3 linked regions of the Lytechinus pictus genome follow. The main gene of each other region encodes a partner of the protein of the gene in region 3 in a complex. Links are inferred from orthologs where the notes say so. Each region holds a gene or a part of one and is shown on either strand. Other genes may lie near its edges.

What was found. The genes of interacting proteins can lie anywhere in the genome.
Region 1: cysteine desulfurase-like (region 3) and iron-sulfur cluster assembly scaffold protein IscU-like share a complex: the UniProt entries of both Drosophila melanogaster proteins name them as parts of the mitochondrial core iron-sulfur cluster (ISC) assembly complex. The link is inferred for Lytechinus pictus from reciprocal best matches to the Drosophila melanogaster genes Nfs1 and IscU.
Region 2: cysteine desulfurase-like (region 3) and LYR motif-containing protein 4-like share a complex: the UniProt entries of both Drosophila melanogaster proteins name them as parts of the mitochondrial core iron-sulfur cluster (ISC) assembly complex. The link is inferred for Lytechinus pictus from reciprocal best matches to the Drosophila melanogaster genes Nfs1 and bcn92.

Annotation. Positions count from the first base shown.
Region 1 is NC_087248.1:21,450,233-21,457,575, reverse strand, and holds the start of iron-sulfur cluster assembly scaffold protein IscU-like, read right to left. Parts: upstream 3,088-7,343; 5' UTR 2,864-3,087; coding exon 2,759-2,863; intron 683-2,758; coding exon 569-682; intron 1-568. UniProt on the Drosophila melanogaster protein: Scaffold protein for the de novo synthesis of iron-sulfur (Fe-S) clusters within mitochondria, which is required for maturation of both mitochondrial and cytoplasmic [2Fe-2S] and [4Fe-4S] proteins.
Region 2 is NC_087246.1:65,512,154-65,519,712, reverse strand, and holds the start of LYR motif-containing protein 4-like, read right to left. Parts: upstream 3,088-7,559; 5' UTR 2,856-3,087; coding exon 2,764-2,855; intron 1,797-2,763; coding exon 1,676-1,796; intron 1,138-1,675; coding exon 1,069-1,137; 3' UTR 1-1,068. UniProt on the Drosophila melanogaster protein: Stabilizing factor of the core iron-sulfur cluster (ISC) assembly complex that regulates the stability and cysteine desulfurase activity of Nfs1 and participates in the [2Fe-2S] clusters assembly on the scaffolding protein IscU.
Region 3 is NC_087249.1:5,200,787-5,208,575, forward strand, and holds the start of cysteine desulfurase-like, read right to left. Parts: upstream 3,035-7,789; 5' UTR 2,822-3,034; coding exon 2,704-2,821; exon of another isoform or gene 2,671-2,703; intron 478-2,670; coding exon 410-477; intron 1-409. Other genes in the region: uncharacterized protein LOC129262526, read left to right, coding at 7,762-7,789. UniProt on the Drosophila melanogaster protein: Catalyzes the removal of elemental sulfur from cysteine to produce alanine. It supplies the inorganic sulfur for iron-sulfur (Fe-S) clusters.

The sequences.
Region 1 (7,343 bases), on a different chromosome or scaffold from region 3:
GGGAGTGAAAGCAAGGGAAGGAGGAGAGGGTAAAGGGGGAGAGGGAGAGAAAGAGTAAGAAAAACAAAGAAAGAAGAAAGAGAGAGAGATTAAGATATCTTTTTTTTCTTTATTATAGATTATTTCAGAGCAATTACCTATTTCTTTTACCCCAGTGAGTACACAACTTTGGTATGGAGAGTAATCTGCCTTTGTTCCTCAAATTGGCACGGTGTTGCCAATTTAAAGTCAGTGCTGATAATGCAAAGTCAATTGAGACTTGTGAGCATTCAAGATAAAGAAAAATACTGGTTACATTCTTAGGAAAATCCTGCCTGATATCTCACTGATTTTACTATTTAAATAAAATTTAAAAAAAAAACAAAAAACACCGAAATGAATGAATGAATGAAAAATGCTTTGCAAAATGACTTATTGATATTCATTTTATACTTTGAACTTGACATCTCTAGATGTTGTCATTAACAGCTGAACAATATTTTTTCATAATTGTTACTTAACCTTATATTCTAATTTTACAGTCAGTCACAAGAATCATAACGGAATAACTTTCTAAATCAAAGCTTACCTGTAGTTTCATGACGTCACCACATGCTGGTGCACCAACCAACCCTGTGCCAACATTCTTGTCATTCTTGTCCATTGCTCCAACATTCCTTGGGTTCTCGTAGTGATCTATCACCTAAGAATACAAAGATAAATAGGAGATGAGATCAGTTGGATCAAGACAGGTTAGACTAAGATAAGCTTCACGATGGATTACTACTTGCACACATTTCTTGCACTGTGTGATTGACAAGCAAGTAGCAGATGCTTTGGAGAGTAACCTTGCATTTAAAGAATGAAACGTTTGGAACGAGATAGCTTGTGTGAAAACAGAAAACTCAAAGAAACTGATCAACGAAAGTTTGAGAAAAAATCAGACAAATAATGAAAAAGTTATGAGCATTTGAATATTGCGATCACTAATGCTATAGAGATCCTCCCATTGGCAATGCGACAAAGATGTGTGATGTCACTTGTGAACAACTCTCCCCATTTCTTTAGTATATATTTCACTTGAACTGCCTCTTTTATTACATCTATCAGTAGATCATGTGTTCTTTCTGTAGGAGGGCATGTAATACAGATTTTTAAAGAATACATCATGGATAAAGAGTTTGTATCACCATAACAAAAAGCAAAAGGAGACATTTTGGGGGTATTTTATAGTCCATCAAAGAAAAAGTTGTTCACATGAGACATCACACATCCTTGTTGCATTGCCAATAGGAGGATCTCCATAGCATTAGTGATTGCAATATTCAAATGATCATAACTTTCTAATTATTTGTCAGATTTTTCTCAAACTTTCTTTGTTCTTATTCTTTGATTTTTTCGTTTCGACACAAGCCTACTTATTCCAAAGGTTTCATTCCCCTTTTAACTACGTTTCAAAGGTATTGTATTTATTGGTAGACTCTACCCATATTTTATCAAATAATCATAAGAATTGCACATAGGGTCTACAAAGAATTTAGACACAGTTATAAAACTACTGACGAGCTGAATTAAGGTTGTGAATATTAATAGCGCGGCACTTTTAAAATTAGCAACCCTAATTTAGCTCGTTAGCGCCACCATCAGGCATGTCGGGCTTCCTTTTACTTCTGTGGAAGAGTATGCAACACCACTTTCGAGCTTTCCAAAAAAGTAAGCAACTTTTCTATTCTTTAAATTGAATTTCAATGTTTAAATCTACTTCTGTTATGAAGTGATGTTTACTGACTTCTCAAAAATCCACTGTCACTGACTCACGGCACTGACTGTGACGTGTAGTGCCTGGTTAGTATAGCTATAGCTAACCTCGAATTGGGCGACGTGATACACATGCAGGCAGGCTCGCACTAACACACTACCATGACTACCGTCGGTGGGTGGGGATTACATACTAAAAAATGTAAGAAATTGGGCGCTAATGCAGTTTCGCACCGGCCGATTACCAGCATACCTCATCACCACTAAATTTACTTGTCCCCAAATGTCATGACAAGTCTCTCAGTCACATTTCGAGGTCAATATATACCTACCTCTTTTCCAAATATCGCGATCAGGAACGGCTGTATTTCAGCTTTGATCTCAATGTCGTTGTTCGAATCCTCAGACATCACTTCACGGATCTTGGCCTTGGATTCGCCGGGCACCGTAATGTTGATGGACTGAAGTTAGCAACCAAATCATGCGAACATGTGGCGAACTGCCAGCATGCTGCAGCTAGGCGAATCTTTTGCCTTGGTCGCATAACTTCAGTCCAAAAAGGTGGGTATATTGACCTGGAAATGTGACTGACAGACTTGTCATGACATTTGGGAACAAGTATTGGTAATGAGGTATGCTGGTAATCGGCTGGTGCGAAACTGCATTAGCGCCAATTTTGAGGAAAAATTTCAGACTTAAAACTTTTCCATTATTACAAAATGGTATTGGTATTACATGTTCCTATTTATAGGGACATGAGAAAGGGGCTTAACATTATACCTTACAGTATTGTTAAGCGTAAGCCCCTTTCTCATGGTTTGCTGCAACTAACTAACTACACATTTGACCGGAAACTGCCACCTGGTTTTACCAACTGCAACCTTACACACAAACTCAGCTCCGCGCGCTCTCACTCGGCTTTGATACTAGTACCAGTGGTAGTGGTACTGTAGCCGTGTAGGCAGCCTTCTCATCTCATTCTTCTCATAATTTTCTGGTCGCCACAAAAAGATGTACTCACATTTTTATGATACGAGGCTGATGCAGGAACCGGTTGAACTAACTTTGTTGCCAGTAGAGGCCGCAAAGTCTTCCCAAGTAGTCGTGCATTGCTTGAAATTGGCATTTTGATGTCACAAATTTGTATTCGTCGCAGTCAGAATAAGCGAAAACAGCGGATTGCGTAAAGTTGTTTATCATTATCACGTGACACATGTCACGTCACATGGCCTATGGGTAAATATTAATTAAAATAAGGATTTCCCCTCTCAGTCTCTCTCCCCCCCTCTCTCTTTTCCACTCTTTCGCTCCCTCCCTTAATATTATGTTATCATAGACCATTTTATCCACCGTAATACATTGGATGAAGACAGAGAGAAAAAAAATGAATCTACAAATAAAAAATGAATGAATGAATAAATAAATTAATTAATTGAAAAAAAAAAGATAAATAAATGAATGAATGAATGAATGAATGAATTAATGAATGAATAAATGAATGAATGAATTAAATGAATAAACAATAAATCAATAATTAAATGAGAACGAAGAAATAAACGAGACAAAAAGTTGAATAAGTAATAAATAAATGCATAAATTACTTAATGAAATAGATAAAGAAATTAAGCAACGAAGAAAAATTAACAGTAAGGCAGAACTTCCAATAGGCCCTATATATATTTATGCCTATTTTTCTATTTTTTTGTCAAGGATTCTAATTACACTATACATAATAGTTGCAAATAGTGGCAAATTAACACGTATTTCTTCTTTTTCATGTACACGTACTCTACAGTTGTAAATATTGGCATTTCTTTATGTATTAGTTTCAGATTATATCAATTGCAAATTAAGACTTCATATTTCTTTTTGATCCTGCAGACCTGACAAGCTTTGCTTTTTTTAATGCAGGTTCCCTAATATTTCACCATATTTTGAACTGTCCTTGATTTCAAATCGCCGTATTATTTAATTAAAAAGATGAATATGCTGCCATGTCTTATTTTTCATACGATATTCATTCGGATGTTATATAATTGTGTGAAATATATGTAAGTCAATCACGTTACTATCGAAAATATAGCTCGATACGCCGGCATCGCTTTACATTCTCACGTTCAAGTATCCTAGTAAATGATGATAATAGACACAATTTTTTTTTTTTTTTTTGGGGGGGTCCTTTATATTTTTTTCTTGTTTTTTTATCATTCTGTGCAATAAATCACAGATAATCAATACAAGTAGGGCCTAATTGAGAAAAAGAAATGAGAGAAAAAATAATAGAGCAATAGAATTGTCATCATTTGGAAACAATTAATACGACATATCAATTAACAATGATTAACAAGTAGTTAATGTAGTCACTTTGTCTCTTCTATATACGTATTCCTCATCCCCTATAATAATATTAAAGGGGAAGTTCACCCTGACAAAAAGTTTATTGTGAAAATATCCTAGAAAAAAATAATAAACTAATATTGCCGCCTGAGGTTTGAGAAAAATCGATCAAAGAATAAACAAGTTATTCGAATTTTAATTATTTGATTTGTGACGTCATATGCGAGCAGCTTTCCTACAATATGGCAAAATCAACTGATCAATGAAATGTCATTTTCCCAGAAAATTGAAAATGTTTCTTTTTCTGTGCCTTCAGTATATCAATAGACAATGATTCCGCACCCGTTCCTAAAAAGAAACCAGGAATATTCACGGCCACAAATACGGACCATTACAAAATTGGATGCATTTTATATTACATAACATGTTGGGCTACCCGTTGGGCTATTGCTCGTTTATGACGTCACAAATCCAAAACTTAACCATGTTAAAATTCTTCTCAAACCTTCACCAATATGTTTGATTATTTATTTTTTCTGCCGGCTATTTTTACAACAAACTTTTCTACAGGGTGATCGGGCCCCTTTAAAGGCAAGAAAGTAGCAACAGTGGGATCTTTGCACGCGTTGGGGGATAGTAATGACAATATTATGATTTCCTTGTTATTTTCTTTAATGTAAGATTTTCATATTGCACGGTCATTATTATATAGATGTTATCCAAGAACTATTGCTTTTTTATTAGCTTATCTAATTTGAAGGAAGGGGAGAAAATTTATTATTACGATTGTTGAATTTAATCGCACGAATGGGCAAGATTGCAACATCAGCGCGTAAGAACAAGTTAGATTCAGGCTCATCAAGACATTGTTAGTTGTAAAATAATTATGATAGTAAATAACTTACAACTTAAATCTAAATTCCGAAAATAATTTGTAAGTTTATTATTTTTTCTTGGCAATATGAGATGCGAGACACTGCTAATACCTCGGTCACATTTGCTTTACGGCAGCCGTACGGCGAGTCGAAAGCACCCGTTATATTCATTTTTTCAAACCACCTATATGAAGCTGGTACACAAAATATTTAACGGCTGTTTTCGATTCGCCTTACGGCGGCCGTAGAGCAAACGTGACCAAGGTATTATATGATTGATATTTCTTTCTATGACATTTGAGGGATGAACGGGAAGATAGCCAATCGTGGTGCATCCCATCAAAGTAAGATGGGTCACTCCAAGGGCTACCTGTTCCCTCTAGAAAAATTCCTCACAGACTATTTAAGCTGTGGAACCTAGGGCTACCTAGGCTCGTTATTTTCCTTACTCATTAGTTTAAGGCATGCCGCCGAAGAGGGCACTCAACCATCCCAACCAAAATAAAGATATTTGTTGTAGCAGTTAGTAAAGAGATGCAATGTTATAGATTGCACATTAATTAATAATCCATAGGTGCTGTGCTTATATATAAATGCGTAACCTGGTTGGTAATTAATTGGAAGATAATGAGACTAAAGATTTTTGCGTCTTGATTTTCTGAATAGATTTTTATCCGCATGTTTGCCTGTAAACGATGATCAATCACAAGGAATGATATTCATAATTACTCATACATATTTATGATGTATGGTAAGCCATATGTGCAATAGGAATACAGAATCGCTTGAATAATTCCAAGTGATATAAATGTGTTGGTTTGTTGAATATGAAGCAAACAGGATAAGATATTTAGCTGGTTACAATTTAGGTCAAAACCATATGACTGTCTCGATCCGGGGGAGGAGGGGGGGGGGTGGGAGATATATCCTTAATTATTTGTAGGTGGGAGGGGATGACCTAAGTTATCATCACCCAATAATTCGATAAACATCATAATATATTTCAATATGATGAAGCGTATGACATGTACGATCATAATAGAATGACAATGATGATGATGAATAATAATGATAATAATAATAATCATCATATCAATAATAATACTAATAACATTACTACTACTACTAGTAGTACTACTACTACAACAACAACAACTACTACTACTACTACAACAAGTAAAAATAATAATAACAATAATAATAATAATAATGATGATGATGATGATGATGATTGTACGTCAAGATGGTGGTAGTGATGTTTATTGTATTTACGCTTGATGACAATTGAAAGTGTTTTTCTCATAATGTTCTTGATCGCTTTAGAATGAAACCACTCATTTTTGAAACTGTTACAAACATATAGACGGAAAAAGAAAATAAAAATCAGGATCAAACAGAATAACATGTTCATGTCTCTGTATTGATATATCATATCTTTTTCTTCAAAATTCCTTTTTGTTACCTCTTCCTGCATGCAACCAAGCAAAATGCGGTTTGTCCCGTTTATTTTACCAACATTTGGCATATAATTCATTTTTCATAGTTTTCCTATTCTGGTTAATGATGTGAAATAATTGGAGAACACACGAAATTTGTGAGAAGTAGAGTGTAAGGAAAGAACCTTGAAAACCGATAAGAGTCCTGAAAATAATTTATTTCCAGGTCAATTAAAAAAAAAAAATTAGCTCGAGCTTTAATTGCGAGAGCATTATTGATCTGATCCTATAGTCCTAGACGAACACAACACTGGAAATATCTTGGATGCAAGACGAACTAAATCGTATTTTGAGCTGTTGTCTTGTTTCATTGTAGGCCTGTAACACTCTTTTCAAACACAAATATTTTAATTTCTCTATAGCAATGTAAACGGTTTATATTGGTCTGCAATTCGTTGATTGATCTACTTCTCAGGAATAATTTCTGATAGTCTTATCTGATAGCATAATATCACGGTTTTTTGTCAATTTCGTCTTATTGCCACAATGGTCTACATTTTTAAGGCGTTGCAATTTATTCTCTTCTTGAAGATAAACTCATGTAAAATTGATTTGTCGATCAAGTTATGTGAAACCCCGAAAACCTCCTGCTTTTGCGAATATGACATCTAAATTTGAGTCATATTTGCATACTGAAAGCTTAACTCTTTAATTTTAAAGAATAAAATCAAAACAAAAAACACACAAAAATCATGTATATCTTTGATTTCTCACCCCCTTTTTATTTTTATTTTTTGGTTCAGAGATAGCCATGAATTTAAATCAGATACTGGAGAATCCATTTGTTTTCCCTTATTAAATCTGTAAGTATGAGCGTATTTTATTACTAAAATACAAATAAAAATTGGGCGAAGTAATGTTAATTAAATATCAAATATTTTCGAGAAGCTGTATTCTT
Region 2 (7,559 bases), on a different chromosome or scaffold from region 3:
CCAGGATCTTGCACCTTTAAACTAATATCATGAAGCAAAAGTCATACATCAAAAATCTGATACAACACACACACTCAGTGTGACCGATTGTGGGACCGATTGTGGGAGACTGTTCCAGTGAAATTTATCAATGTTGATCCTCCCACATTCAAGTCTTGATACTGCCACACTACTGCATAATTTGACCATGTAGGTCCATAGTTTGAACCAGGAATTATAGTTTAAACCTGATGAATGTAAGTGATGTAAGTGCATGCCAGAAAAAGATGCAGGCTATATAATGACTTCATTCACGAAGGATTGAATCTCCATTGTTCAAGTGAATTTTAGCTATCTAGAATCTTCAAAATAATTATCCAAAACACACTAATTCTAGCTTTTCATGCAGGCCTGTTTTCATGATTTTGTTTTGAACGGATTCTTAATTCTTTATTATGACCATAGACCAATGCTTAGCTGCTTGAATACAGCCATATCCAGAAATATTCAGAAAAAAGGAGAATCTTGGGTAAAGATAATTATTAAAAAATACATTCCACTTTCACCTATCAAAGTTTAAACAATAAACAAGTACATATCTCATGGCAAATCTGGGAAAAAGCATCTGGGTCAAATGACAACCTTTTCATTTTCACTATTGATGACAGGTGTCATATAAAATTTTGATGTTCATCAAAAATCCTTTGAATATTTTTTATCTATTCATTTACCTTGTTTTGAACCCACCCTCCCCACTTTAAATGAAATGCCAGCATGTTAAAAATTGATGACATGTAACATGCACATGACACATGTACACATTATGAGCTTAGGAACAAGCACACCTCAAACTAAAAATTCATGAAATATTTGTCTCCATCTCATTCTATTCCATAGCTGCAATGATGCAATCATTCTTTCATCTGGTATCCTCTCCCTCTGATTAAAATGGGAAACAAGTTCTTCATCAGAAGAGACAAGTAATATTTGGGAGTCAAAATATTGCTTCCCCAAATCCTCAGATACTGTCACTTACATCATCCTTGTTATTTGCATAGGAAACTGTCCAGAAGTTGACACTTTCTTTGGTTAGCTTGTCTTCACTGAATCACTTTCAATAACCAGCTTAGGTTCCCTGTAAAGTTGGCTGATAGTGGCCTTTAAGAATAAGTGAAAGTTAACATTATACTTGACTTCAAGTTAACATTGACACTACTCCTACAACTACTGCTTTTGCTAATGCTTCTACTACTACTGCTACTAATATTACTTCTTCTACTACTATTACTACATGTACAGTAAGCTCCATCCGATTGTATCAAGATTTGTCAGTCTATGTTCAGAGACCCTTCTTTGAATATATGGTTTTTTTTATTAACCTTATGACAACTAAAATCTATATATTCTGGGCCAAACATCCATCATATGGCTTTCTGTAACACAATTTAGTTTGTTTGCCTCCAGACGTACATTGTACATTGATTGATTGTGATTGTGATTTGCAAAGAAAAAAATAAAGAAAAAAAGAACAAAGTAGAGTATCAAAATGACAAGTACATGTATGGGTCATCATGTTACTCTATAAATAGACTTCCCCTTTAGGTTGTCCTGTTGCTTTGCCCCTCCCCCCTTCTCCTCCCTATCAAAATACACTGGCACTACCCCTGGGACTGAATACAGTGTTTGTCTATATTACCTGTCTTCTGATAATGTTCAAATTATCCTCAGCCTTCTTGATGTATCCTTCTATAAGCTCTGGATTTGTTTCTGCTTTGTGTTCTTGAAAGGCATCTCGTATCCTCCTCACTGCATACGTCCTGACAATAAAAAGAAATGAAAAAAAAAAGAAACAGATTAGAACAATGATTACAGGGAGAGAGATAGATAGATTATTAGATAGATACATGTAGATAGATAGATAGATAAATACATAAATAGATATATCAATAGATAGATAGATAGATGCCAAAAATTATAGAGCACAGTAATTTGACATCATAACAATTTTGTTTAAAATTACATCAGTTCCCTGAAAATACCTCATCATTAAGCTAAAATATCATTATAAAAACCTAACAAGGTCTATCATGTTTTTAGTAAATAGCAATGATTTATATAACATTTACCTGCAGGTGCATAGATACTGTATGATGTAGCTCTTATGCTCTACAATTACAAATTACATTGTACATCCATAATGCCTTTAACGGTAAATGCAGCCATTACCATGTCTCTCACTCTCAGGCTGAGCTGAGGAAGGAAAAGTTACTGTTTTCATCATAAAAAGCAAAAAATAAATAAAGTTACACGTCATATGCAAAGTTGGTTTGAATGCAAAGTAAAATTTTGTTTATTCATAAGGCCAGGCCCAAGGGTAAAAATCTACTTTTATATGGCAACATGGTTGTTTTTTTTTGCAGATGAATTTCAATCAAATTGGTCGGATTCGATGAGTGGTGAACTTTTAGTTTTATAATTATACTTCAAAAACATGTCATAATATTAATAATTATTCTACTTTCTTGCTACATAAATTGACCATATTATAATAGAGCACCTATGCTTCCAAGTGATCAGTAATTTACAATATGAAATCAACTTAGATCTAAATTTTGTGAGTTTTGAACTTTTGAGTACATGTAGTTCGTAAAAATATATGAAATGAAAGGTGTTACATAATGAATATCATTACCATACGTCGTTTCGAGTACATGGGACTAAATATTATATATATGTCATACATAAAAAACGTGCATTATTAAAGCATGGAATTTCCACTCTAACCTGTAATTATATCCAGTGAATTTCTGGGCTTCCCGTAGCATTTCTCTGTACAGGCTCAATATTTTCATCCTATGAACTTGAGCAGCGGCCATTTATCCGTAAAATTATTTCTACTGGAGGCTTCACGTTCGTTCAGCGAAGAGTAAACGCAATAGACATCAATGATTGCCGTTTTCGACTTGACTGCATGTGTTGGACCCAAAATAAAATAATGTGATTACTTTGTGTGATAACTCATTCTAAGCGGTACACACTGATCAGTGCGTGGCGATTCAGGGGAAGTAAATGCGGGAGTATATTGCTAATGCACTCCTTACCATCTGTGAAAGAATGATGTAAGTGATTTCATACACACGGGAACGATTTTTGTATTGGGGGTGCTGGTTTAAATTTGACAAGCAAAGAAAAGGGGGGTCGATCGCTACAAAATGATGGTGATTTCGGTACTAGGAAAAATTGGACCCCCCCCAAAAAAAGTTATTTTTTTACTAATACATGGTGAATAACACATGTACGGTACAGTCAGCACCCCAAGTTGAATCTTGGGGTGCATCCTCGATCGCTTCCCAGGGCCATCATGTTCATGCATAGGGAGGGAAAATTCTTATCATTTTTGGTTAATGTATGCACTATATAGGACCCAGATTGGCTGGCTCCTTCAAAAATGCGCCTTATTTGTATCTTTGACAGATATATGGCGCTACTGATAAAAATGCTGTGCATCATCATCATCATCCACTCTACTCCGAGTTGCCATGACCGGGTGCCTCGGGGGGGGGGGGGGGGTCTGTAAAAACGGTTCCCGTTTGCTCCGGCGACAGTCGAATGACTGAATTCAACGGCTGGATTTAACACTATATTAGGCCTATATATCCTATCCTAAACCTTACATCCTACCTACCCTAAACCTTACCCTAATAACCTAACATAATTTTACCATGTATACTATACTAACTCTAACCAGACCGAGACTCCCTGCTCTATAATTATAACCCTCCATCTTAGACAAAAATAAGGCCCGGAGCAAATGTTGTGTCACTATCTAAATTAAGTTTCGCGAGCAAGCATTTGATTTACCAAAAAAATCTGAAAATGAAAGATCCATTTAATATTTTACCCCGTTTTTCTAAATTTTTCTTGGATCAAAATCACCTTCATTTTTTTTGCATGCTTGCTTGCTTGTCAAATTCAAAACAACACCGCCTCTTAAGAATCGTCGGGACCTGACCCTTGATGGCGGGACAGATCCAGCAATGTCCAATCGGAGTGCCAATATGGAGAGTCGGGAAAAAAATTATCTGTCACAAAGGGGGTAGTCCTTGAGACCTTTAACATTTGCTTTACAAAATTATAATCAGTAGATATATAGAGGATTATTTCAAGGACTGACTGACTGATTTTGATATATTATAAACCCGAATAACCTGATCTGAGCACTATTTTTATATTTGATCATAAATAGATCGATACGTCTCGTATCTCGCTAAAAATGCCAAGTGCGAACTTAATTGGAGCAAGCTAAAAAAAATATTGAGATCTATAGACTTAACAACGAAAAAGTATACGATGAGCAACAGCTGAAAATTTTTATACAGCGGGCCTATGGCAGGGGCGGATCCAGCTTTCTCCAATAGGGGGGGCCGAAAAATATTTTCATCAACATTTTTCTCGATTGGCCGCTATCATCTGATTTTTTGTTGGCTTTTCAGGGGGTAGTCCTAACTAAAGACTGAAGTTTTTAGTATATGTTAGTTTTTTTGTTATAAACAAGTTAAGGTATCTCATGTGGTCTTGATATATAATGCTAGCGCGAGGCGCGAGCGAAAATTCTTTGATATTTGATGTCCTTAGAATTGAAGATTCTGAGCAGTTTTTATATTCATGAACAACTAAACAATGCGAGCGCGAAGCGCGAGCCGAAATTTTATTATAGTAACGTGAAAAGGGACTCAATTAGTGATTAGTGATTAATGAAGAGGATACAAGTATCACCAATTTAATAATGAGAGTGCGAAGCGCGAGCTCAAAATTTTTGATATTCCGACCTGAAAATTGAACAGTCTAAGCGCGTTTTTTATTTAAATAAAGAACAGGCTGTGTGTCTCAAACAATTAAATGCGAGCGCGAAGCACGAGCTTAATTTTTTGATATATTTACATGATAAAGGAGCATTTTGACAAATTTTGGTAAAAACTTTCAAAGAGGATAGGTATCTCACTAATCAAACAATGCGAGCGCGCAGCGCGAGCTGAAAATTTTGATATACATTAACAATTTGTGTAAATCAAACATAATAATGAAAGCTTGATGTGTGAGCTAAAATATTGTGTGCAAATTGATTATAGAACTGGTTATATTAAGTGTCATTTAATCCTCTTGAATGGGATTCATTACACAGGCAATGCGAGCGCGAAACGCGAGCACAAATTATTATATAAAGTCTATTTTTCAATTCTTCCCCTCACCTTTTTCTTGTTTCCTTTCGGGGTCGGGTCGGCCGTTTTTCGTAGTTTCTATCAAGTTAAAGAGTATACTTTTTTTCTGCAGGTTGACAAAAAATAGGGGGGGCCGGGGCCGGCTCGGCCCCCTCCTGGATCCGCGCCTGTATGGGTCAACGGTGATCTGAAAAAGGAACATTATTGTTAATGATAATTATCCAAAATCAATAATACAAGCTGAACATTTTTGTATAACATTCAGACCCGAAACCATTTCAAACACTTTTTGTAATAAAAATTAATGAACAAAATGCCTATACAACCAATGCGAGGGCAATTAAGTGTGGGCTGAACAATTTAGTTTGATCATAAGAGCTGAAAACGAAATATGTTCAAGCACTTTTCGTAATAAAAATAATTGTGTATCATACAAGCATTAGTCGAAATGATAGATTTCTGCAACATTACTACGGGAAAAAATACTAGTAATTATTGGAAAAATATAAACATTTAGGTTTTGAAATAATTATGATCCTTTAAATCTTCAAATGAATTCTAATCTTTTGAAACTTGAAATCTCTAACCGATGCAAAAAAAAAAAAAAAACAGCAGCCCGGCAATTTTTAGCACCGAGAGGCAACTGTAGATATTTTGATACAGAGATTATAGCTATTTTAATTGATTTATACATTTTTGAATACCCCCAAATATGCCTATATAAAATGGATTGGATTTGACTGGACGCGGCCCAATTGAGGCCATCAGGCATAAATATCCCTAAAATGATGTCGATCCGGATCGAGCAGATTTAAATTCATCAAAATTTGCAGAATTTTGAGCTAAATCACGGAGCTTAATGTGTAATGGAATTTTACTCACTTTTTTTCTGAACACTTGGAAAACGTCCCTAGGCTGACTGTCCAGCCCTAGCCCCCACCCCTCCCCCTCTACCTCTATCGGTTAAATTCTTTAAAGTATACATCCAAAGAAAATTCACGATTTGTGATGATTATAGACAAATTATATATGAATGGAAAGGTCTTGTCTTTTTATACACAAATATGTCACTAAAAAGTCTTATTGATGTCGTGGAAATGCAAGAAATGAAATTATTAGAGACCATTCTAAGCCCCCCAGCCGCCCCCAGACCGATGAGTTCACGCAGTGAAAACAGTCGAGAATAATGACGTCACACAATAATCGAGCTCATCATCCCTCTAGCTCTGTGCATAATACACTGAATCACCTTACTGACCTCTTCAATATCTTCCGAATTTACCGTTTTCTTCATGTAATGTGACATCCGAATTCTGTTTTCGACAACTTCAGACTATAAGGGAACCAGAACTGTGTTATTTTGCCCGTTTTTTATTGAATTGTGAACTGGAAAGATCGATTTTGTCCACTCGACAGTCTTCGTTGTGTTGCTCTACTAACTATTGAAAAACTCCAAGCTGCACGGTCCCATTCACTTGCTCCCGATGCATGTTGCAGGCTACGCTGTTTGATCCAGTCAAAAGTCAAGGTAAGCATGTTTGGAAACTGTACTTGTTCTGACGATGCATTCAGGTCAGATGACAGATACAGATCTGATATAAGTTTAGAATCATGCATTTTGGCATAACTACTATCAAAATTAAAAAGTTTTTATTTTAGAAATAATGTTTTTGCACAATTCCACCCAAGGGTTCATTACATGCCGCCACGCACAGAAAAATCAAGCCATAGAAGTCGTGTGTTGTGGACCCAAGAAGTGAGATCCCAGACGCCTCCAGGCTAAGCACGCGCAACCCACTAGTTAGAAATCCACTGCCAAACGCGGTTCGTGGTGCGAGGTTAGTATACTTAATACGTGTGAGTGGCACAATTCCAGCAGATTTTTTCTTCAGATTTCTAAAACTGGTCAGGACTCAGGCAGGCGATTAAATTATTTAGGAGCACTGAGTGGTATGGACCATGGCTGAAAATCTGCTGTTTCAGAGGAATGTTTAAGTTTTTATTATACACAGAATTACACACCATGATGCCGATGTCATGAAGCCAGACAAATTTTCAGCAGTGATTACCCTGATTCCTGGCCAAAATCACTCACACGTATTGCGAGGTTAGTATTAGTATACTACTAGTACGTATTGCGAGGTTAGTATTAGTATACTAACCACGAACCGCGTTTGGCAGTGGATTTCTAACTAGTGGGTCGCGCGTGCTGGGATCTCACTTCTTGGGTTCACGACTTCTATGGCTTGAATTTTCTGTGCGCGGCGGCATGTAATGAACCCTTGGGTGGGCCAAAATTAGAGTCTGGTGTTACTTTCTGATTAGAGTGTTGCTGCATATATGTATGCGTAATGCCTTCAA
Region 3 (7,789 bases):
AGATGTATACATATACTAAATGACTAACTTCTTTACAACATTTACAGGCAAGCCAACATTTGAAAATGAAAAAAGGAGTCCCAATCGTTAGAAGCAAATTTTTCTGCTCGATGTCCAATGTGTCTCCCTCACTTTTTTAAAAAATTAAGACATATTTACCATGAAATTACAAGTGTAGAAAAGAAAAACCCACTACACTAATACATTAATGGACTGATTTATTTTTCATCTTAAAGAAATGAAAACAGAGTGCTCCTGGAAAAAAGTAGTTTGCAGGCCTGCATTAATTCAACAGACTATAATATCTTTATTTTTATATCCTACATGACCATATCTTTTTTTACATTATCCAGAGAATCCATTCTTGGGACTTATTTTGGATACAAAGCTTGAGAAGTCACATTCTTACCAGTGGTGTTGTAGACTGAGCATCCAGATATAGAGCTCTTCCTTCAAGGCTCTTCTCATCTTTCACATCTGATAATAAAAAACAAATAAAGATCAAAACTTGAATGAGTGTAGCAAAGGATTACTAACAATCTTACATCAACAATGTAACAGTATTGATCGCTCTACAAACTCACTACCCCAGGCCCCACAAGCCCCACAAGCCCAGGGTGAATAAAAATCATCAAGGGAAAATGTTTTAGTCAAGCTTTAGATCACACAAAATGTACAAGTAATCATATTGCAATGCAATGCTCATGAGGTCTACATATATCTGAACAAGCAAATTGATTAAAAATGTAATTTGAATGGTCATGAATTTCTGATGCTTCATGACGGTTCAAATTAAACTTTTGAATCAATTTGCTTCTTCAGATATGTACTTTTCTATTTCTCCGTCTCCACTCCGGTCTTCTTTTTTTGTTGCACTTTTAATCTCTATAAAAATCTATGACTTTGAACAAGTTGAAGTTATGTACAATGTATATGGCAAGTTCCCCCAAGTCTACGCAGTCCCCCTTGTCTGCGCACACGCGTATCTGCGCGATTCTAGTGAAAGAAGATACGCAACGAACACAAAATTTACACATACAACACATAGCCAGATATTCATTAAAAAATCCTGACTCAAAATGGTGGGAAAATAATTAATTTGGGGCATTTCATGTGACGGCCTCTAAATGGAGCCTTTCTCATCAAAATACCCGAATCGTGTGCAAAGTGAATGGGTGCGCAGACATGTGGTACCATTTTTTTTTCAATCTGAAAATGACTGCCCGACGTTTTTTCCAAGAAATTCCTATAATTTCTTTCAAAATTGTACGAGATATTTGGTACACTTACTCATTAAGAACATTATTAACTGAAAGATTTTGTGAAATAAAAAGAAATTCATGTTAAATCTGAACTCAAAATCGTTAGGTGCGCAGACTTGGGGACCACCATCACATAGACCTTATTTTTAATCTGACTTCTCCCCTGGAGGGGGCACTCAGTATATAATGCATAGTTAGGTATGTACCGTGGAGGGGACCCCCATTTTTGCACTCAAATTTCCGTTCCAAGGCGTAGCATTTTTGTCTTGAGAAAAAGAACAAAGAAAGCCGCTCCAAAGCATAGCATTTTCTTATCGAGAAAAAAGAAAGAAATCCGCTCCAAAGCTTCGCATATTTTCCGTTACGCCGTTCCGGCCGCATTGATCTACTACAATGAGCCGCAATTTTGGTGAAGAAAAGCAGCCGCAGAGCGCTGTCCAACTATTGCCTGGCGCATCTGGCGCCCGTGTCGCCGGGCTAGCTGCATGCACAGTCCATAGGGATGCATACGCACTCACACGCAGGCGACCCGTTCCAAAGACCCCGTTTTCACAAACATTTGTAGTTCTGAGGACCCTCCTTTTAACAATAAGCCGCTCCAAGGCCCCAGTTTTTTGTCTCGCGTCGAGTACCTCCCCCCGCCCCGGGACTTCTCCTCTCTCTGCTCTGCCCTTGTTCAGTTCAGGATTCATTACTCTTCAGTCTTCTGCATTCTTTTTCACACTATCACTCATTCAGTCACAGACACAGTGTCAACAACAGTGGCCACAATAAAACGTGAACTCTTGCCGTGAACAAAAGTAACCACTTCAACTTCATTTTAATTCAAGTTCATGCAATAATTTTTTTTTTTTTTTTCAATAATCAAATATCATCAGCATCACGGACAATCAATTCAGGGGCCTGTAACACAAAGCCAAAGCAAAGGTTAGCGATTAATCATACGCTTGATTTTCACGATTGATTGTACATGTACTGTAGTGATGTACATCGTAGACAATGGAATCAATCGTAGAAAAATATTCTAGTAGTGACTAGTACGAGTACGACTACGATCATTGCCATAGCATTGCCATTGGCTTGCTAAGCTTTGTGTTACGACTTACGGGCCACTTATCTGCTAATCTTAGCTTTTACTTTTAGTTTTATTAGACTGAAAATTTCAATCTCTGTTAATGCTGTTCGAAGTTCATGGCTTCTTCTTGTTCCACTGTTTCTTTCAGACTGGTAAGCTGGTTCAGCTCAGCTAGCTGTCGACTGTCTATGCTCCAGCGCGGCGCGGGGCAGCCCGAGCTTACGGGGCCGGGGCGCGTACAGGTACCGTACCGTACGGAGGAGAAGCGCACCGGCTACCGGTATATGTTGGGTCGCGCGAAGGTGCGGGGGAAGCCAAAGCCAAGGCAAAGCTGAAACTGAAAGACGAAACAGAGTCGAAACTTGCCTGCTGCTGCTGCGTTGGAAGCTTGTCGCAAATTGGGATCATTTAAAGATACAACACATGATGACCTCCAAACCCTCACACAGGATGCAACAGATCTTTTTCCTAATATTGTGATCATGATTTCTTGTTTCCAGGACTTGTCTGTCAAAAGCAATTCCCGGAGTTATGAAAACTTAATTTGTGATGCAATGTAAGCTACTGGGTTATCAAGTGGACAAATTATAAAAGAAATTTTACTGTCGCAGGAGAACATTCGAACACGTGCAAGCGCAAGGTTGCGTGCGGCAGATAGACTGAACACGAAGTGGCGACGTCCGGGGCGCGGGGCCGTGCCGGGACTAGTGACATGACCCTCGTTTATTTGGAGCTGTATCCTACCAGTTTCCCGAGCCGAGGCCAAGGAAACTTTGCATTCTTTTCATCTCTTGAATTTCATCGTTCATCCTCCACCTGTTTTGTTTTTCAAAAGTGAGTGACTACGCGATTGGAGCAGTGGATCATTACGATCGTATAATAATCATGATAGTTCTGATACTAGTAGGGTGTCTGGAGAAAAAAATTATTTTTCTTATTTCAAGAAATTATCACATTTTCTTTGTGAATTTGAAGAGAAATGACCTTCAGACTGACAGAAATGTAAAATTTTTGAAAAAAATCCAATTATTGGCTGCAAAAAAGAAGAATGAAATTAGGTAAATTTTCAGCATTTCTCTGCCATAGACTGTGTAGTGTAGTTAAGAAATGGACACACACAAATCCAAATTTTTAGCTTCCGAGAGCTGTTATAAATTTATTATTAATGCCAAAAACTTGTCCATAAAGAGTCCAATAGGATTTTTTATGCTCTATCTGATGGTATGATTTTCATAAAGATTTGGAAACCAGATCACAATGAAAAATTGCGACAAAGTGAAAAAAATTGTGCAAAACAGAAATTTCATTTTCCCATAGAAAACGCATGGAGAAATGGCAATCTCAACACACACAAAAATAAGGGTTTGCAATTTATCTCTAAATCCTTATTCAAAATGATCATATAAACTTGTCCTTACTGTCAAAAGATGCCCCTGAATTTTCTCTTTCCATACATGCCAAACACAAGTTAATAATCAATTCAGATCACATTTTTCTAGTAGCCTGAACTTCCCTGAAAAAATGTGCCATATTTTCCCCTAAATTAGCCTGTTTTATGCTGACACTTTTCAGTGTGGCTTCAGACACCCTACTGATACAAATCATACATACATAGGGCCTAGGCACTCCTAGTACCAATGAGGTCCAAACATTAGCATGTATGGACCTCATAGGCGACAATGCGTTAAAAACAGGTTAGAACTTCTAACCGTACTGTTTCCTGCACCCAAGTATGATATTACTCCCAAAATATGAGTTTTGTCCTCGTTTGTTTATCATTTATTAAAAGATTGCCCATTAAATATATTCCTATTCCTAATTTGAATTTAATAAAATAAAGGGAAACTTACATTTGAGTCATTTTCGATCTTTTTTTGGCAGTCAGTCCGGTCACCGTCGAGTGCGATCAAAGCGGTATGAAGCTGATTTTCAGATCACGTGATACGTGTGGTCATCACCTGATCAATCGACTATCCTTTTTAAAGACCGCAACAATTATAAATTTTATTATAAAATATATATAGAATAAATTATTGCATAATATTATGTATTTTTCTACAATTAAAAAATATTTTATGATATAAATTTAATATTTGACGTAAAAATCGCTATTGAACAAAATATTTATTAAAAAATAAAAAATCAAACAAAATAAAAAAGCCTTGGACACAGTGCAAAAAACCTAACGATTTGGCCGCGTTGTTAACAACTATCGTAAGGGGCGCTTTATTTATAAATAAAAAAGAATATGCAGCTGTCTATGGCGACGTGGTTTGTCGCGAGATTTGAGACAAATCCGTGGGAATTCTTGAGAAAATACATCAAAAGAACCGGTGAGTACCGATTAAACATTATTAAAGTTGTAAATAGATTATACATACCTTGTAGATTTAGTTTTTAAGGTGATATTAGTGCTTAGTTCTAAGCTAGGGAGGCCCAAACGCGCGTGAGCGGAGTCCCACTTTATTAACACGGGTAAGTATTGCGGTGTCGCCTAGAGTGGGCCTAGGCTAGTACCGGATTACCGAACACTTTTAAATATAAAGCACAGTCACTAACTTCGGTCTATTGTCATAATAAAATTCACCAAACTTTCAGTGTTTTTCTTTCACCATAAAAATACACAAATAATGAAATACTTACTACTAGGTCTACGGTATACAGGTATACCGTAGACCTATTTCATTATTTGTGTATTTTATGTCCTTTGAGTTTGAAAACAAAGAGGAGCATACTGAATTGTCAAGAAAACAGTACTGTCGGCCTATAATGTATGAATATAGATCTACCTCATATTCTAGAAAACATTTTGAAGAAACATGTAATGTAGATGTTGACGTTGCTGGCTTTCCATAGTTGTGATTGATTGGATCAATCGTAACTCTTTGTAAGATGGGGCCCTGTAACCAAACATGTGTTTTCTATGGGAGAAGATGAAAAAATCACTGATGAGCTATTTTTATAATGTTTTCTTACTTTGAGAATACAAAGACTTTGAAAATAAGTTTTTGGTTAAATTTTTAAATTTTATCATCTTTCTATGACCATGTGAAGGATGTTGCAATGTTCTGAGCGTATGAAATTACTTTCTGATGTGTATGATGCGCGTGTTCGGTAATACAAGCCAGGTCGGTGGACAATATCACTCACTATGTCGACCAGCCTTGTATTACCAAACGTGCTCTATTACACATCAGAAATTCAATACGCTTTTAACTTTGCAACATCTTTTCAAAGGTAATTTCAATATTACGTTTAAGAAAGATGATGAAAAAGGTCCAAAACAAATTTTTTCTCAAAACAACAAAACATGGTGAAAAAAAGCTGATCAGTGGTTTATTTTATTTTTTTCCATTTCTTCCCACAAAACTCACACGTTAGCTTGGTAATACAATACCATTTTTAAGTGACCAAAATATTTCACATGTGAAGAGGGGACAGGGTGCGATCAGAAGGTAAAAAAGAAAATTGATCTGGGCAAAAATGTTATATCTGTATTTACCTGTAGTCCTGTAGACTAGATCTAGTCTATTTGTGTGTTCATGGTGGATGTTTGATGAAGTTTGACATGATTGGATATTATGAAAAGTGTTTGGTAATAAGATCCAAAAACATACAGTATGGTAATTAACTTACTATAATCTAAATCATTATAAGATTTCTAAAATTCTGGAACTTCAAACTTGTTTTGGAGACTAATTTTGTCTGGAGAAAAAAAAATTGGATTTGGAATGTGCTTTATGGTTGTGAAGAGGAATAATTGAAATTACCTTCAGAATAACAAAAATGTGATATTTTATGAAATATTCCAATTTATGACCACAAAAAAGAAGAATGAAATCAGACAGATTTTCAGCTTTTTCTGCCTTAGGCTGTATGGGACACACACAAATCCAAATCAAATGGGTGCCGAGAGCTGTTATTCTTGATGGCTGCCAAAAACTTGTCCACAGAGTGCCAGATAGTAAATTTGACACTTTCTGATAGTATGATTTCTTTTTAATTTGAAAATCAGATCACAGTGTAAAATTGTTCCCAACAGAAATTCAATTTTAGTAAACGCAATGGGAAATTGCAATCTCAACACACACAAAAAATGAGGGTTTGCTATTTATCTCGTAATCCTCATTTCTAATGATGCTATTACCTTGTCCTTAGCATCAACAGAAGTCTCAGAATTTCTCTTTTCATACATCTTCTTGATCTTAAATACGAGCTGAAAATCAATTCAGATCACATTTTTCTTGCAGGCTTAGTTTGCCCTGTCGTGCCGTTTCCCAATCAGCCTGTTTTATGCTGACACTTTCCAGTGTGGCTCCAGACGTTTGAACTTTTTTTTTTCCTTTTTCGCTTGAGCTAGAATAGCCCCGTCTGGATAGTACTTAGCAAGTAGGATTTTTCATTAATGGTGCATGCAATTATGTATGATATCACATCAGGATATACAGATGAATATAGGATTAAATGTAGATATCTGGTTGTAATGTTGTGGTTGATTACTTCTACTAGATTTAGCCTGTTCCATGACTATGGTTAATTTAAACTTGAATGTGCATCTCGAATTAGCGGTCTCTCATTCACACCAAAATTTGTCAAGCCATTTTTTTAACTTTCCAATGACATTGCCTTTACAGTTTCTTGAGGTAGATCGTTCCACTCTTTTACAGCTTGTTGAGTAGAAATTTTGCTCATGGTCTCATGCAGCTATGTCGCATAACATTAGAAACTCACATTTGTGTGATCTGCAGTGCACATGACTAACGTGAGTTATTAAAATCACCTGTTGACACCAGTTGTGCTGGATGGCATGGCATGTGAGAGTGCATGTATTTTGAGCAGATCGAGTAATCTCAGTCTCAGATAGATGTTTAACGTTAGGTTGCTAACTTACTAGTAGATCAGACTAACATTATCTTCCTAATGTCAGGGTATATGTTGAATTGGCCACCATAACTGAAAGTTTCTGGATCTATTTCATGAAACTGGGACATACTTATGTCAGAGTCAAGTATCACCGATTGTCTCACATGAGTTTTAGGTCACTGTCAAAGGTCATTAAGGGTCAATGAGTGTTGACCATGTGGGGATACTAGTTTATGGATGTAGTTCATGAAACAAGGGTAAATATCACTGATCGTCTTGGATGAGTCTTAGGTCACATGATCACAGTCAAAGGTCATTTAGGTTCAATGAATTAATCTAATTATCATATGAATTGTGTTTTTTGTGAATAATAATTTTTTTTTGTAATTATTCATATTAGTTGTTTTCAAAATTGGCTCTGCTGCTATAATGAATTGCATAATGCAGGTAAAACTGCCAGAGGCATTCCTCTTGTTTTTCTTGATGTAACCTCCTTGATTCTTTCTTTGCACCCATATCTAGATCAATGTTTACTGGAACCCAAGCTACCATGACTTAGCCATGTCGACGTTCCCACCTGCTCATTTTC